Arabidopsis thaliana: one gene and its partners. The protein of the gene in region 3 interacts with the protein of the main gene of each other region in a pairwise test. Each region holds a gene or a part of one and is shown on either strand. Other genes may lie near its edges.

Evidence for each region.
Region 1: the proteins of RR3 (region 3) and RAT5 interact in a two-hybrid assay, tested with the Arabidopsis thaliana proteins (one large-scale study listed by BioGRID).
Region 2: the proteins of RR3 (region 3) and AT1G36060 interact in a two-hybrid assay, tested with the Arabidopsis thaliana proteins (one large-scale study listed by BioGRID).

What each region holds. Positions count from the first base shown.
Region 1 is NC_003076.8:22,193,760-22,198,409, reverse strand, and holds RAT5 (Histone superfamily protein), read right to left. Parts: upstream 2,124-4,650; 5' UTR 1,871-2,123; coding exon 1,682-1,870; intron 1,335-1,681; coding exon 1,131-1,334; 3' UTR 918-1,130; downstream 1-917. Other genes in the region: Fh5 (formin homology5), read left to right, coding at 1-554; AT5G54630 (zinc finger protein-like protein), read left to right, coding at 4,150-4,650. UniProt on the Arabidopsis thaliana protein: Core component of nucleosome. Nucleosomes wrap and compact DNA into chromatin, limiting DNA accessibility to the cellular machineries which require DNA as a template.
Region 2 is NC_003070.9:13,453,372-13,458,554, forward strand, and holds AT1G36060 (Integrase-type DNA-binding superfamily protein), read right to left. Parts: upstream 2,966-5,183; 5' UTR 2,292-2,965; coding exon 1,347-2,291; 3' UTR 1,125-1,346; downstream 1-1,124. Other genes in the region: AT1G36050 (Endoplasmic reticulum vesicle transporter protein), read left to right, coding at 1-312.
Region 3 is NC_003071.7:17,219,099-17,225,729, reverse strand, and holds RR3 (response regulator 3), read right to left. Parts: upstream 3,891-6,631; 5' UTR 3,451-3,890; coding exon 3,348-3,450; intron 3,239-3,347; coding exon 3,138-3,238; intron 3,036-3,137; coding exon 2,958-3,035; intron 2,725-2,957; coding exon 2,654-2,724; intron 2,519-2,653; coding exon 2,194-2,518; 3' UTR 1,844-2,193; intron 1,752-1,843; 3' UTR 850-1,751; downstream 1-849. UniProt on the Arabidopsis thaliana protein: Functions as a response regulator involved in His-to-Asp phosphorelay signal transduction system. Phosphorylation of the Asp residue in the receiver domain activates the ability of the protein to promote the transcription of target genes.

The DNA of each region.
Region 1 (4,650 bases), on a different chromosome or scaffold from region 3:
AAGAGAATTACCGTAATCTTGGACTTGAGAAAGTTTCAGGCTTGAGCAGTGAGCTTGAACATGTAAAGAAATCTGCAAACATAGATGCCGATGGTTTAACAGGGACTGTTCTTAAAATGGGTCATGCTTTGTCGAAAGCTCGAGACTTTGTCAACTCAGAGATGAAAAGTTCAGGCGAGGAGAGTGGGTTTCGTGAAGCGCTTGAAGATTTTATTCAAAATGCTGAAGGAAGCATCATGTCCATACTCGAGGAAGAGAAGAGAATAATGGCTTTGGTGAAAAGTACAGGGGACTATTTCCATGGCAAAGCAGGAAAAGACGAAGGGTTGCGTTTGTTTGTGATTGTGCGCGATTTTCTGATAATCTTAGATAAATCCTGCAAAGAAGTCAGAGAAGCACGAGGAAGACCCGTAAGGATGGCCAGAAAACAAGGCTCAACAGCCTCAGCATCTTCTGAAACTCCAAGACAAACGCCTTCATTAGATCCTAGGCAGAAGCTGTTTCCAGCTATTACAGAGAGACGCGTGGATCAGTCTAGTTCAGATTCAGACTAAAAAGTACAAATCTTTGGTTTCGTTACCTGTTAGGACATAATTCATCTGCTGTTTTGCTGAGAGCTTATCTTTTCCTGCTGTGAGTGTAATGGCATTAACCCTCAAGACATGTCAGGTTTTAGTCACTGATTATGAGTTTTTCAGATGTAATTTAAAGAGGCATAGACACTGTCACTCACTTGTACCAATTTTTTTCACATTTAGTCTTAGAAATACTTTCTTTTCATATTTTTTCAATCTTGTTGGCCATAGAATAATAATCCTTTGTGTTTTTTTCTTTCTTGTACTATTACTATCAACAACAAAGAAAATCTTTATACTTCTACAAAGTGCAGTGTTTGCTTGTTGAATAAGGCATCAGCATTTTTGAAAGACATTATCATTCATATTTCGCAAAATACTTTCATATATTCACAAAAACAGAAACAACATGTCGAAACAGAAACGGAAAGAAACAAATCCCTAAAGGAATTAAAAAAAGCAAAGATACAAAAAGTGAAAACATCTAGCTAGTTATTAGGTTATTAGATCTAAAGCCAAAAGAGAGACGTGTTCTATATCATTGTGTTAAAAGACCTAATCTTCCTGAGGCTTTGAAGCACCAGCCTTCTTAGGGAGAAGGAGATTGTGGATGTTAGGCATCACTCCTCCATTAGCAATCGTCACATCTCCAAGAAGCTTGCTTAGCTCCTCATCGTTTCTGACCGCAAGCTGAATGTGACGAGGAACAATACGTGTCTTCTTGTTGTCTCTTGCTGCGTTTCCAGCTAATTCAAGAACCTGAACAAATTCAAAACACACAATTCATGATCAAACTTTCCAAATTTGAGAACTTTAACAACTCAAATCAAATTGGTTACCATAATTGAAAAAAATTTAGAATCTTGCGAGAAAACTACAACGATTCATATGATCTCGATTACCATCAACCAATCAGAACAAACCCAAAATTAGGTCAATTACAGAACTACAACAATTCAATTCAAACACGAATCTAATTCAATTTTTGCATGTCAAATTCGGAAAATGTAAGAACCCTAGATTCGTAATCGATCACGCAAAAACAGAGTCAGACGAATAAGATCGGAAACGGAATGGGAAAGAGAGAAAAGACGATGTAATTTTACCTCGGCGGCCAAATATTCGAGAACGGCGGCGAGATAAACCGGAGCACCGGCACCAACACGTTCGGCGTATTTACCGGCTTTTAAGAAACGAGCGATACGACCCACCGGGAATTGAAGACCGGCTTTGCTACTCCGAGATGTAGCTTTCTTCGCCCCACCGGATCCAAGAGTTTTTCCACGACCAGCCATTTTCAACAACAACAACCCACAAAGAGCGCAAAAAAATCGAATTTTTTTCTTGACGAAATTAACAGAGAGAAATCTGATTGTTGTTTATATATGTTGGAGGATTAAGTTATTTGACCAATAAGAATAGAGTACGCGGATCGAAGAGGTTTAAACCGTTGATTATAATTTAATGAATGGCTACGATCTGAAGTTTTTTCTCCCACCGCTTGAACTTTTGCAGTTTTTGTTGGTTTCTTCTGGACGAGGGAATTTCCAAATTTTCCATATAAACCTCAATTTATTTTATGCCCTTGAAAATAATATTATGGGCTTGGAACGCTGAACAAATCGAATTGAGTTTACGAAGTAAATGGGCCGCTTATGGGTTTAGAACTCGCCCACCAAACCCCAGCGAAGAAAATGATTTAACATAGTCACTTTTACTAATTCTATTGTGTTGTTCATATTTTTATTGAACAACCATTGTGGAATTTTATCACTATATAAATTTGATGAATTACTAATCATATAAATAACGTTGGATTACTAAAAATGTCACTATATAAAAATGTTAAAGTGAGAAAAAGAACATGCATGAAAGAGAAGAAGTTTTAAGAGTAAATTGTGTTCACCAAATCTATTTCAATATTTATGGATCCAAGTCATACGGAAATTAAGATATATCATAGCTAGATTGGGGCAGACCAGTCAATGTGGTGTGGTCGAAATGATGGTCCTGTTGGTTTTAGGTTTTAGGGCAAAACTGGGTAACCCAGAAGAAGGACATGATCTATCAACATGTTTCAAAATTCAATTTCTAATTTAATGTCTTTCCTTTTGAATTCAATATGGCTATAACGACACCCACACCTACTTCCATTATCTACCCTTTGCGATATCTACAATTCGTAATAAATGCACTTTCAAAGTTTGACAAACTCACAATTCAGATTAGAGTTATTGTGTTTTGATCATTAACGAACTGTTATTGTCATCCATTCCTTCATGTTTTGAAGTCGATATGATGTAAATACTACAGTGTTACTTTATTAGGAACAGAGATAATGCAAAAATATTGATGTACTATCGTTGCGGTTTTACTTTCGTTTATACAAATAAATCTTATATTTCACCGTCCGCTCGTATAAACATATTATGTCAACTATTGTTATTTATCAAACTAGAGTGATAAAGTTACATGCATGGTGTAATAATAAGAAGTTTAGTATAAATTTTAATGGCTTGTTAAAATGTATATTGATTACTGTCTTTCCAAGAAATGTCAGAATGTTTCATATGCTCTTATGGGGCATTTAAGAGTGAATTGACAGATGCAAGCAGAAAGAAATGAAATCAATGTTCTTTTATTCAATTTTATTTCCTATAGCCATGCTATTAATTCATTAGTAATTCTCATTTAGTTGTCACTGACCAACAATTTGTCATCATTATTGCTTGGATTAACGTATTTATGAATAGTGAGTGAATACATATGTAGTTTTAGCCTGACTAGGTTTCAGACATCATAGAAGAATAATCAACTCTTTCACCATATAATCTCAAAGGTAAATTTAGAAATAAAATATTTGTTTCTTCTTGCGAGTAAAAGTACTTATTAGACCGGTGAACCTGCTCACGCACAGTCTCATTGATTTATGATCGTATTAACTGTAATTAAATTCTGTAAGAGAAAGTTAAAGGAAATTCCAAAAGTTTAGAAGTATGACATGAATTCAAGATTCTCTACACGGTAACTATAGGAAAAAAAGATCTTTTAAAAACCAAAATCATTGAATTAATCACGATTTATGGCTAATGTTAATTTTGTTAATGAATGCAAGTTCATGAAATTTAGCTTGTTTTTTCTTTTCTTATTACCGTGCATTAAATCAAGTTTACCACTAAAAAGATTCCAATATTCAGTTAATGTGATAATTCGTAAATATGGACTAGTCTATAAATTACTATTTCATGATTTATGAACATGTTGTGAAGTCTTTTCAGTTTTTACACTTTTAAGAATGGCAAAACAGTAAGTGAAAGAAACATTCTCTCGTGTTATTACTTATTACATCGGTGAGTTGAGACATCGTAGACCTCCTTCAGATTCATTTGCTCGTACATGCCTTCTAGAAAGAAAAGAAACTTGGTTTTTTAATATATCTCATAAGACAAAATCCACTTATTATTACCTATCATCCGGCGACAATATTTAATTTATATTTATTATAGCATCACTTCCAAAAATATTCAGAAGAAGAAGATAGAGAGAAAGAAAGAGAGAGATATCGACAACAACAATGGAAGATTCAAGCAAAAAAAGCCAAAAGAAGAAGAAGAACAAAAGCAAGAACAACATCCCAACTGTTTGGTTCTCACTCAAGAAATCCCTCCACTGTAAATCCGAACCATCTGATGTCCACGACCCAATATCCACCACTAAACAGCAACAACACCTCTCCACAATCTCCACCAAGAAAATCTCCGGCATATCATCCGGCGGAGCCGCCGTATGCGGTGGTGGTTTATCAGGATGTTCAAGATCAATAGCAAATCTCAAAGACGTAATCCATGGAAGCAAAAGACATTTCGAGAAACCACCAATAAGTAGTCCTCGTTCTATTGGAAGCAATGAGTTTCTAAATCCTATAACTCATGAAGTTATTCTTAGTAACTCAACTTGTGAGCTTAAGATCACTGGTGTCGGAGACATGGCTTCACCTGTCGGAGCAGCGGATTCCGGCGGAGGTGGCGGTGGAGGAAATGGTCGGTCTACGACTTATGTAGGGATGCTTAGACCA
Region 2 (5,183 bases), on a different chromosome or scaffold from region 3:
AATGAATGGAAGAAAAAGAAGCAAAACAGTCTCCATAATAAACGCTTAGAGTACAGAGAATCATTATTAGTATTGACGAGAAAGTTGTTATTAGTGAATATATTAATTCCGATTGCAATATATGTTAGGTCTCGGTTAATACTCGGATTCGAAGAACTGAACCAGAACCTATCCGAAATATCGGTTTGGGTCTGTTTTGGATCCTCTAGAACATTTGATTGGGTCTTGTCTTCATATATTTTCGGTATTGGTTCAAAAAGGATAATACCTGATAAATTAACGGGAACTCGAATATATTTGAAGCCTAACTAAACTCATGATCTCCTTTAACCTATATTGCCTGGTTTGATTGGGAACATCGGGTTTTTCTTTTCGAGTAGTTTGGATAAATTTGAGTATAAAGTAACCAACTTGAACTGTATCCGATAATTTTCAATTCACCCATATCAACTATCCGAACTGATATGAACCCGAAGGTTACCAAACCAATCCCGAACAAAATTTTAAAATACCCAAATAGTACCTCGATTCCTAGTACGAAACCAAAATCCAAATACTCGAGTCGAACCCAAACCGGTACCCGAATGTGCAAGCCTAATATATGTGCATTCTCTCATTCCTTTGGCTTGGCAATTGGTTTCTATATTTGCATGGACACTTTTATCATCCAAGTCTTCCTTTCTCATTTGACAACGTTTGCTCGTAAAAAAAACTCACTTTGGTTACCATTGTTAAACACAAAAAAAGAAATCTAATCTTTTGTGTTAACTTAAAGACTTGATAATTGTTTTACTTTTTTTTTTACTTATTATCTATCACTCGGTCTATTCTAAAGAGAAAGCATGAGAATGTCGTCAACGTAGGCACTTTGTATGAGGTTATCTTTATACCACGTAAAGTTCAATCAAGGATCCTTTTCTTCCACTCTTGTGTTTCTCTTTTGACTTCTTCAAAATAGGACCAAAATTTATAATATTAAGCTAGAAATTTAGCAATTTAAATTTTAAGTTTTCACTATATTGTTCCCTTTTAGACTAATTTACTTTTTAATCATTTCTAAGCTAAGCACAATGGTCCTGTCGCAGAATGGAACTTCACGATTCTAATGTGTTACAATATATTCATAGTAGTAATACTAACCATATTCATTTCAATTAAGAGAAAAGAAGAAGGGTCTACATGGTACGGCATGAACAAAAAAGCTTGAGCTGTCCATAATTTACACACTTGCATTACATTCATACAAAATGCTAAATTACAAATTTTACGCACAGCTAATAACCCTAAAGTTTAAAAGAAAATACAAACAAGTTAAAATGAATAAAAATGAATTGAATCCTAATTTTTCACGATAAAATTGAAGCCCAATCTATCTCATAAGAAGGACACTTGCCGAGCATGAAATTTTCATTCCATGGCATCTCTGGCTCTTGGCACATCTCCTGCACCATAACATCCGAAGTCGGTGAACCCGACCCATCACTTTCACCCGACCCGGAATGTTGTTGTGGCGCTGACGGCTGCTCAGCTGAAGAAGCCGCGGCTTTAGCTCGTTTCCTCGACGTCCTCTCCGTTTTGCCCGGCTGATTCTTCGGCTCAGCTAATATGGCTTCTAGTTTAGCGTCTACGGCAGCTTGAATAGGACCATATTCGCCGGTATCAGACGGAGACGAGCCGGTTTGGTATCGGAGAGCTGGGAAGTTAAGCCGAGCCGAGTCACCACGAAGCTTAAACGCGGCGCGATCATAAGCCAACGCGGCTTCTTCAGCCGTGTCGAATGTTCCGAGCCAAAGTCGGGTTCGGTTCCTGGGTAAACGGATCTCCGCGACCCATTTTCCCCAATGTCTTTGCCTCACTCCTCTATAGAGCTTAGCCGGTTTTGAAACCGAACCCGAACTCGGACCCGGTTGGGTCATAAAACCCGGTTGGCTCGGCTCAATGAAGTTAAGCATGCAAGTGTTGTTGTCTTGGTGAGTGTAAGTGATAGTGTTTTGGTAATGGAACTGAGATTGGTAGTTTTCGGGTTGTTGAAGATCCGACCCGAATGAAGATGGATAGGTCATGGATCCAGAATAAATATCCGGGTAAGAGGTTGTGGAATGTGAAGGGAATAAAGATGCATGAGGATTATAGTAAGAAGAAGAAGAAAATAGGTCGTTTGGGGCAGACGCAAACGCATCGTTTGAGGACGCAAACGCAGGATTTGAAGCAGACGTGGAAGCACTTTTGTAAAAAGGTTGAAGTGCTTCCATAAGCTCGCCGCCGTGGCCACCACCGAAGAGATCCGCCATCGGAGTTTCCTGAAATACAAAAAAAAATGTACTACAAAAAACAAGATTATATAAAATTATAATTAAAAAATGGTTGAAGAAATAAAACCTGTCTTTTTAGAAAAAATTCAAAGACTGGTTTTTTGGTTTATACAGAAATAAAAGTGATCAACGAGGTTTGAAATAAGCAACCTCCATAGATCAAAACTAAAATAAATTTATCAACAAAAAAAGAAATAAAATAAGAGGATCAAAACTTGAGGGAACTAAAAAATGCCCATGAAGTTGATCAACTCTATAAAAGAATGAAAGAATATTAATTGACAGAAAAAATCATAATATTTTTGATGGATATCGTTTTCTTGAAAACACTTTTCAAATACAATTTTAAACAAAAGTTTGTCGTTTTAGATGAGTTTTGGCAAAATATAAACTCATAAAGCAACACTTCATAAGAAAATCGTGATTTGTGTTTTCTCAAGAAAGACGACTGATGAATAGACAGGACATGGAAGAGTTTTTTTCTTTTGGTTTGAAGATGAAACGAAGCAAAGAAAGCAAGAAGAGAATAAACCCTAATTTCACTCAAATTTTAATCTCTCAATTTTTTTTTTCTTCTCTCACTCACACTCACTCTCTCTCACACACACAAACACTCTCTCTTTTGGAAGATGCTCTCAACCTCACCTTGGTAATACCCACCCAACTCTCACCGTTTATATAGAGGGCTTGTTCAATGAAGATAGATTAAAATATTGTTTGTACATCAATAATCCTAAAATAATGTACTTGACTTTTAAAAAAACGTATTTGACTTTAAAAAAATGTATTTGACTCCCACTATATAAGATACATATTTGATCCAAATATATATAAAAAAAGAAGTATAAAAAATAATTGAATAAAAACTGAATATAAATGTTGTAACTAGTGAAATGTTTCGAAGAATAGTTATGAATCCCTTGTTCAAAAAGTCGGCTGATCGGATAGAGTCTACCGCAATTTTGTCCAAATCGAAAAGATTAATCGTTGATCTGATTTATTCATCATAGATCCGCTTAAACCTGTCTAGAGGATGCCTAGTCCAAAACTTTTTTTTCATTTTTTTTTATTTTTTAAGATAAACATTTAAAAATATCCAACTTTTTAAATATCCAAATTTAAAACATCAAACTTATGTTCTAATTTGTATGAAAAAATCATAAATTTGAACTTAAAATCTTGTTTTCATGTGTTTAATACAATTCTAAAAACAATGTTATATAATTCTCTTAATTGTAATGGAGGAATATGTTTTAAAAATATTAAATAACCCTAAACTTAATTTCCGATTAATTTTCGTATAATCTCTGATTTTTTTGTTAGGTGATAGACCTATCCTCATCGTTCGACTAGCGCCTAACGATTTTTTGAGCAAGGATTATGACAAAGTGTTTTGGGTCAAAACCCACATAAACATTTATACGGTTGAATTTGTTCTTCTTGGTAGCGAGTACGGACGAACTACGGAGTACTGTGGGCAGAGCTGTTCTAGACAGAAGCATATCAAATATGAACTTGCGGACTTGCGTAAGCATAAGTACAACGGTTATTTTGGAAACAAATCAATACTTGAATTGGTTATATTGTTTGATGATAATTATTGTAGAGTTTGAATATTAACATTCGCACGACACTTGGACTCGTACGTGGAGACTGAAGATTCCATGCAGAGCAGAAGTTAAAGGTGCATTTGTTCTTAGCCAAAGAAACCAGGTCACATGTCCTTAGTGCCACAATTCGCATTTTTTGCCATTTTTGCGGTGTTTACGTTTTTTCCTTCTTTTTGCAACAGTCGTTGAAAATTAGTTGAGAAAAAAAGTGTTAACATCCTTCTGAGATCGATTAGTACTTCTACTATACCATTAAGTTACTATGCTTATACAAATAGATTTATCGAAAAACATTTAAGACCAATTGTTATGCAAGTATATTCAATTTTTATTATACTCCTTCCGTTTCACTTTAAGATGTTTTAGAGAAATTATTTTGTTTTATTAAGTGATATTTTCAAATTTCTACGCAAAAATATAAATATATTTGAAATGTTAAGAAAAATTATTGTTATAATAAAAATGTTTGAAATATATACTTCTAAATGTTTTGCATTTGAATTTTCTCCGAACTTAAATGGATGATGTTATGAGTAAAATGAAAGAGTGGCTTCATAAAATTACCACTAACACACTTCATTAACAAAAAAACGTTTTCTAAAATAGTGTTTTCTCTTTTCAATTCAGTAATTTTGTTGAAACTAAATTTGACAATTTTAGCATCTTAATAATGCTCGAAACCTCCAACCGTCAACAAATACCGTTGGAACAATAACAGTGATATAATTAAGTGATAATTTAATTTAATGATGAAATAATACCTTCTTCAATAAGTGATTTAAGTGATAATTAAGTTGCAAGATAGAAGAGCCACGTGAGAACGAAAGCATCACGTGATCTCAGGCGCAATTTGCTGCAAGTGGGAAATTGGACTTTACGTTGGCGTCGCCTCGAAATTAAGACTCACGCGTGTGATTTTTTGTCCCAATTAATCTCTCTTTTCTTTTGCTTACACACCATTTTTAACCTAAAACATCAATAATAGTACAATTCACAAATCTTATATTTACGGACGGTTGCGGTGCTAACTTTTAAAATCAATAATAGACATTTCAAAAGTTTCGGACCATTCTAAACCATTCAAATCGATGAATTTTAAAAGTTCTTTTTTGTAAACATTTGCGATTATAGACAGTTAGCAAAAAAGAAAAAGAACAAAAAAAAGTCATTTAAACAACAAATAAATAAATATTATCAAATCATATATATATTAATGTTCATTCTCAAAATTTTAAATACTTTTTCCTACTAATATCAGTGT
Region 3 (6,631 bases):
CAACTTCTCGGTTTCTGAGTGAACCAGCAATCTCGTCGGCGATGGACAAACATGTTAAAATCCAGCCGCTCAGAGCAAACCAAACCGTTTTCGTCAAAAGCATCGCCATTTCCAAAGGCATCGCCATAATCTCTCACTCTCTCAGTTTTGTGAGCTCAATTCATTTGGCTGAAGAGAAGAAAAATCACTGGAAAAATTGGGAGATCCAATGGTGGAATTTTTACGGTAAAGGAGATGAAATATGAAAGAATAATCAGGCACGTGGGACACGAGAGGATCTTTCCAGCAATAAGACATCGCCACGTGTGGGTTCTGTTCACCAGCCGTGTCTCTTTCTGGCCAGTTAGGACAGCGTTAGGGGACACGTCACTGTTCGACCAATAAAAAGAGAAGATCGCAACCCAAACTTTATCAACCCGACCCAGTGGTTGATTACTTGGTACTATATGTTATGCAAATTTTGATAGTGTGTTTATTTTGTTTTTAAATACCAAAATAAATGTCATTTACGAGCTAGCTGACATTTCCCCAACGAACTAATAATTATTCCCTTATAATTGGACATATTTTGTTTCCTTTCATATTTATAATTAAACTTTTGTATTTTTCCTATCGTTAGTTGATAGTACTTCACAAAACAACAGAAATATTGCATAAAAAGGAGGCATAATGAATATTACTCATGTGATTGGAAATAAATAATTATGTAAAATAATTTGATGCAACAAACATCACAGAAGCTTCCTTTTGTCACATTTTTTTTTCTTTTTAGATAGTTCTTGGAATGTTATCTCTAATCAAAATTAGGGCTAATGATTTTGCTTTCTTTATAGTTAAACGTTAATATTATTGTCCAGTTTTGAAATACTGAAAAAAACGAGAGAGTACACAAAAAAATAAGAAAGAGAAAATAAAAAAGTGATGGTCCAATCGGAGCGGCTTATTGGGTCATAGTGGGCTCGGAAGGCAATGGCCCGTAATCCTTCCACCGTCAAGAGCGGGAGGTGGACGCTGCTCTGTGAAACCAGCCTCACGCGGTCTCCCCCACTCTAGAAGACATGAGACCCGAGCCTTCGCTCGAAGCCCATGCCTCAACTCCCAACTTGGAATGGGCGGGCCAGAATATAGCCCAACCCGAACCCGGCCCAATGAGATCGACCCAACGTCCCATCCCCTTATTGTCTCCACTTGGATCACAAGCCCGCGTTACTGAGTTCGACGTACAATACTCGCTACCTTCCCTATTATATACAACAACAAAACGTTTTGTTTTTCCGATGTGGGACAAATAGCTCTCTTAATACAGTTTTCGTTTCCAAAGGGAACAAATCATAAAAATTTCATCTTCAATCTCAGGAATTATATCTTTGAAGCTTGTTCGTATCAAAAGGCCAAAACTTTCGACCACTTCCAATTTTTGATAAGATTGGATTTAGATCTTTGATGCTGTTACACCCACAAGATGAGAGAATTTTACAATTCGTTTAATGGTTCTTAAGCTAGTAAATGTAGCTGTTAGTTTTGATAAGATTCATTACTAATTCTCGAAAGCTTCAATCTTTGCAATAGTTTTGGATTCTTAAGCTAGTAGCAAGAAACTTCCCAAAAATCTTGTGGGTTTAACAGCATGAAAAATAAAAGAAAAAAACGAAGAAAGCTAATCTAGGGGAGAGAAGTAAATTGACAGAGAATAAAACAACTACTGTGTCCGAGACCATCCTGGTTTTGAGCCATTGTTAGTGTGCTATCACCTGAGTGAAAAGAGAGAACAACCAAGAAACAAGTAAGATAAGAGATGACAAAAGCTATAGTATGAAACCACATTTCTAGTGTTGCTACTTACCACTATCTGAATGGTTTGAAGCTTCTGATTGAATAGGTATTCGATTTAGTGGATCTCCTTGTGTCTGCATTGTCTCTTTTTCCTGATGATAACGATGTTGCTGCGGTATTACTCCTAGCAGTCCGTTGTTGTTTGCTTCATATTCAAGAGTTAGCAGATCTTCTACTGAGAGATTCTGTTGGCATTCTCCATATAGGTCTTGTAGTGGCTTCTCGGGTTGCGTTAGTCCTCCTTGCAGTCCGTTGTTGTTTGCTTCAGATGCAAGAGTTAGCAGATCTTCTACTGAGAGATTCTGTTGGCATTCTCCATATAGGTCTTGTAGTGGCTTCTCGGGTTGCGTTAGTCCTCCTTCAGACCGAGGTTGTGATATCATTGTATTTAGGACGTGATCGATCAGTAGAAACCACTTCTTCCATTGCTTTTCTCTTATTACTACTCAACATTGGTTCAAGTTGTTCGGATTCAATTTCTTGGTGGAGAGGCAAGATTTCAATCACTGATGACTCTTCTTCTTCTTCTTCTATCTCCGGTTTAGACACCACAATCTCTTCTATGGCAACTGGTTTCTCACTTTCTTTCTTCAACTTCGTTTTCATCATATGAGGTTTCAACTTGGTAAGATCAGCTAACTTCACTGGTTTCAAGAAAAACTCTTCAGCTCCTTCTTCCAAACATCTGTTGGAAGAAACCACCACAATTTTGTAGATAGTTCAAAGACTTATTCAAACCAAAGAATCGAATAATAGTATCCACTTGCCAATTCTCAAATCAATAATACTCAAATTAACTTTAAAGAAACAGAGCTCTTACCTGGAGATTCTTGCAGGAACGTTCTCAGATGACATTATAACTACAGGTATACTTCTAAACGCCGCTGATTCCTATACACAACAATCATGTAGATTACTCAGAAGCAAATCAATTGTTCTTTTTTATCAAACAATGGCATAAAGGAAAGTTTTTGAGTGGGAAAATATTCCAAAATGAGATTTTCAATTTCTCCATTGACATTCTCATTTGGAAAAGAAAACTAAAGTAAAAAACTTTATTTCTTTTTCTGGAAACGAATTTAGCCAGAGATGGAAAAGACAGTAACCAAATTGAGAAGAAATACCTTAACTTTCTTGAGCAAATCATAACCAGTCATGCCAGGCATACAGTAATCTGTAATTATTAGATTTATTTCAACTTCCTGCTCAAAAGCCACAAATTACAAACAAATCTCAATATAACCATTCATTGCAAATTTCGAAAGTAACCAACTTTGAATCATGTAAAAGATCAAAAACTGAACCTGATGAATTTGTGGCGATGTAGAGAGTGCATTTGGGTCGTTGTCATCTACTCTTAAACCCAGAAATTCCAGAGCTTTAGAGCCTGAATCAACTGTAGTTACTGCAAAACATAAGAACAAGAACCAAATAAAGAAACCTTTTTTTCAGTATATCTTCCTTCTCTTTCTCCAATACATATAGCTTAAAGATTATGGCTTTTTCGAATCTACCTTGACATGAAGACTTTTGAAGCAATCTCTCAATCATTTTCCGATCAAAAAGACTATCATCAACAGCTAAAACATGGAACTTTGACTCTGTTTCCATTACCATTGTAGATATTCAATCGAAAAAAACTAAGATCTGAATCTAAAATAGACAAACCCAGATGCAAAGTTTTCAACTTTGTGTTTTGTTTTGATATCCTTCTTTAGAAAGAGATTAAAAAAAAAACGGTTTTTTTTTCTCTACCGGAAATGTTGAGAGTTCTGAATGAGCTTGTAGGAGAGAAGAGGAGAAATAAAAGGGGGTTTGTATTTTTCAACCCAAATCTCGGATAGTGAGAGAGAGACGAATAAAAAGGAAATAAGACTAATTGGATCTAGCTTTGGTTTACGGAGTAAGCAAGTTTTTTAAATGATGAAAGTAATTTCCAAGGAGACAACGAGAGAAAGAAATTTAAAAAAAAAAAAGACTTTGATAATGGATAAAATAAATAATGGAAAGAAATCTATATGAAGATTTTAAAGGATTTGTTTAGCCCACCAAAGACTTTTTTTTTTTTTAAGATAAGAGGATGAGGGATTTAATAATGTGTATACTACCACAACCACATGCATTGCTATTGGTGGGTTTTAACAGCCATTTGAAAATATATATATATAGAAAAAACCGTTCATTGTCAAAAAGAATTGTAGTTTAACGTTTAAAAAAACAAAAAAACTTATACATTAGTTAGCAAGATGTTCGAAAACAAGATGTTTTAAAAGAGATTAAATAATAACGAGTTTTTGTGATGACAGTATTTTTTATTTTCGATTTTAATATATGTTTATTGAGCTGCTGGGATGTCACCGATCAAATAATCGTTGAACCTAATTAAGAATTTGCTTATAATTTTGAATGTTAAGAGTGGTTTAAATCCCAAAAAAAAAAAAAAGGAATAGAATTTTGAATGTTTTTACGGTGGATCGTTGATGTATTTACAATATTCAATTTGTTTTTATTTATACTCTGCACAAACATTCGAAATAATTTGTAATGGTCCTGATTGAAAGAGTGACTAGTGGAAAAGATTTTCGTCGGACCACAACATCGTCCCTATTTCTATTTAGCAGTTTATGTTGTGGGGTTTGTGTATTCATATGCGAGTCGATGTGACGTGTTTTGCTGCGTATCATTTACTTATTGGATATAATTTTTATGTTTTCTTTTTCTCACTTTTAGTACAAATGTGGTTGGTCTCTGGTGTAATACTCAATCAGTAAATTAGATTGATAAATCTTTTTTTTTGTGAAGTTAAATTGGTAAATCTTAATTATGATGATTGGTAACATAAAAATTATATGACCAGTCAAAGTTTTTAGTGGTTGGAGATAAATAAGAAGAGATGAATGTATTATTTAGAGAGGAAAATAGTAGTATAACGGTAATTTAGTTGTAAGTTCCCATGCTACAAGTATCTCTTGTTAATGGGATTTGTTAAAAATCCACAATATAAAATATATAGTATAAATGATGTTTTATATTCTAAGTATTATAGATACTATTTTTAAATGCTTTTACATCTACGAACAGTATTAAATAAAAAAAATGTAACCTAAATGTGAAATAGTGTTTTGCGCTCATCGTATTATACTTGGCGATCAGATTCGTTGGCAAAAGAATAAGAAAATTTACTAAATAGTTAGGTAGTGTGGTAGTGGCAAAGACATGGCAATGTTCACTTGATTCTCTGCCAAAGATTTGCCTCCCATGGTCATGCCCATCATCACCACTATCATCATCAATCATCATCTTTATATGGACGACACGTATCCAAAGTATGGTAGACACATGAAAAGTCCGTCCAATAACCAATACTCTCTTATGGGTCTAGTGGGTTCCATATTGCTCTCTCACTTTCCACATTTCCTATCTCTTTTCTTTTTCTTTCTATACAGTCAATTTTTGTTGTTTTATTTGTTATCCGCAGCAATATGACAATGTATAAGACCAGGGGCGGACACACGTTGGTCTTGGGTGGGGCATGTGCCCGATACTCAATTATATAAATCTTATATAAGTTTGCATTATGTAATTAAAAATGTATGTAGTGTAGTGGTATTTTACTTAATGGTGCCCCACATTAACCCAAGTTCAAGCCTTGCTATGTCTTTTTATTGATTTTTTATAATTGTGCTCCATATAAAATTATTTCCTGGATCCGCCATTGTATAAGACTATGGCTTTTATTTTTGTTTGTTGACATACCATTGGCTATGATACAAGGATCCTAGTAATCTCAATTTCTTAAACTAATATTGCACGTTTCACCTTTTTACCGCCACAAAATTATGTGTACAAAACTAGCTAGTGTACCACCAAAACATATATGTACCACCATACTGAAAAACTATCGGAAAAAAGAATTGAGTCCAGCAATCGTAGAGCTCAAGAAGCAAGAGTCAAAGGATCATGGCGTTGACTATAAAAGCGATTTGATGAATTAATGGAGTGATCATGAAATTGTAATGCACGATGTGTCGGGAAGACATGCTTTCAATTTCAAAAAAACCCTAAAAAAAGAGTCAAATAGATCTTCCATCGAGATCTTGTCTCATGAAACTTCAGCACAACCGTCCATGACTCTTTGATGATAGAGGACCCCTCCTCCTCTTCAACACATTCATAACTTCATCATCACAACTTTTGACCCTACAATTTTACAAAATGGACAAATTTGAAGAACAAGACGTCTATTAACAAGTGCGGTAAATGAAGGCATTAAGTGAGTCGATGTAAATCGGATCACACATTGTGGTGGATAAAATATTTTTAATAATCTTTAGAAATGGTTAGATAATATAACTGACGGTGACCAGCACCTTCCCCTGTCTTCGGGCTTTTTTGGCCTTCATGGACTCATGGTAGCAGCTCTCAATTTTTGTGTGTATTTCTCTTGTGTCTCAATATTTTCAACAGTAAAAAGAAAAACATTTTTTTTTCTTATTTAACCAGAAATCAACCGGTTGGTGGAATCTTTTTGTGTCTTTATCAGATTGTCATGACTTAATGAGTCGTATTCTGAGCTCACTAATTTGACGACGATAAAAACGTTTTCCGATTATTTATTATAACAAAATCTAGAATCCATGTAATAGCCAAACAAAAGTAAATATTTGACTTGTTCTACACATATAATAAGTACATCCGATCTTTACATTGAAATTTTCATACTCTGTGATTTGACTGGTTGAAAGAAACGTATTGTGTAATTATCATATCTTATTCAGCGAATATTTTGTATTTGACT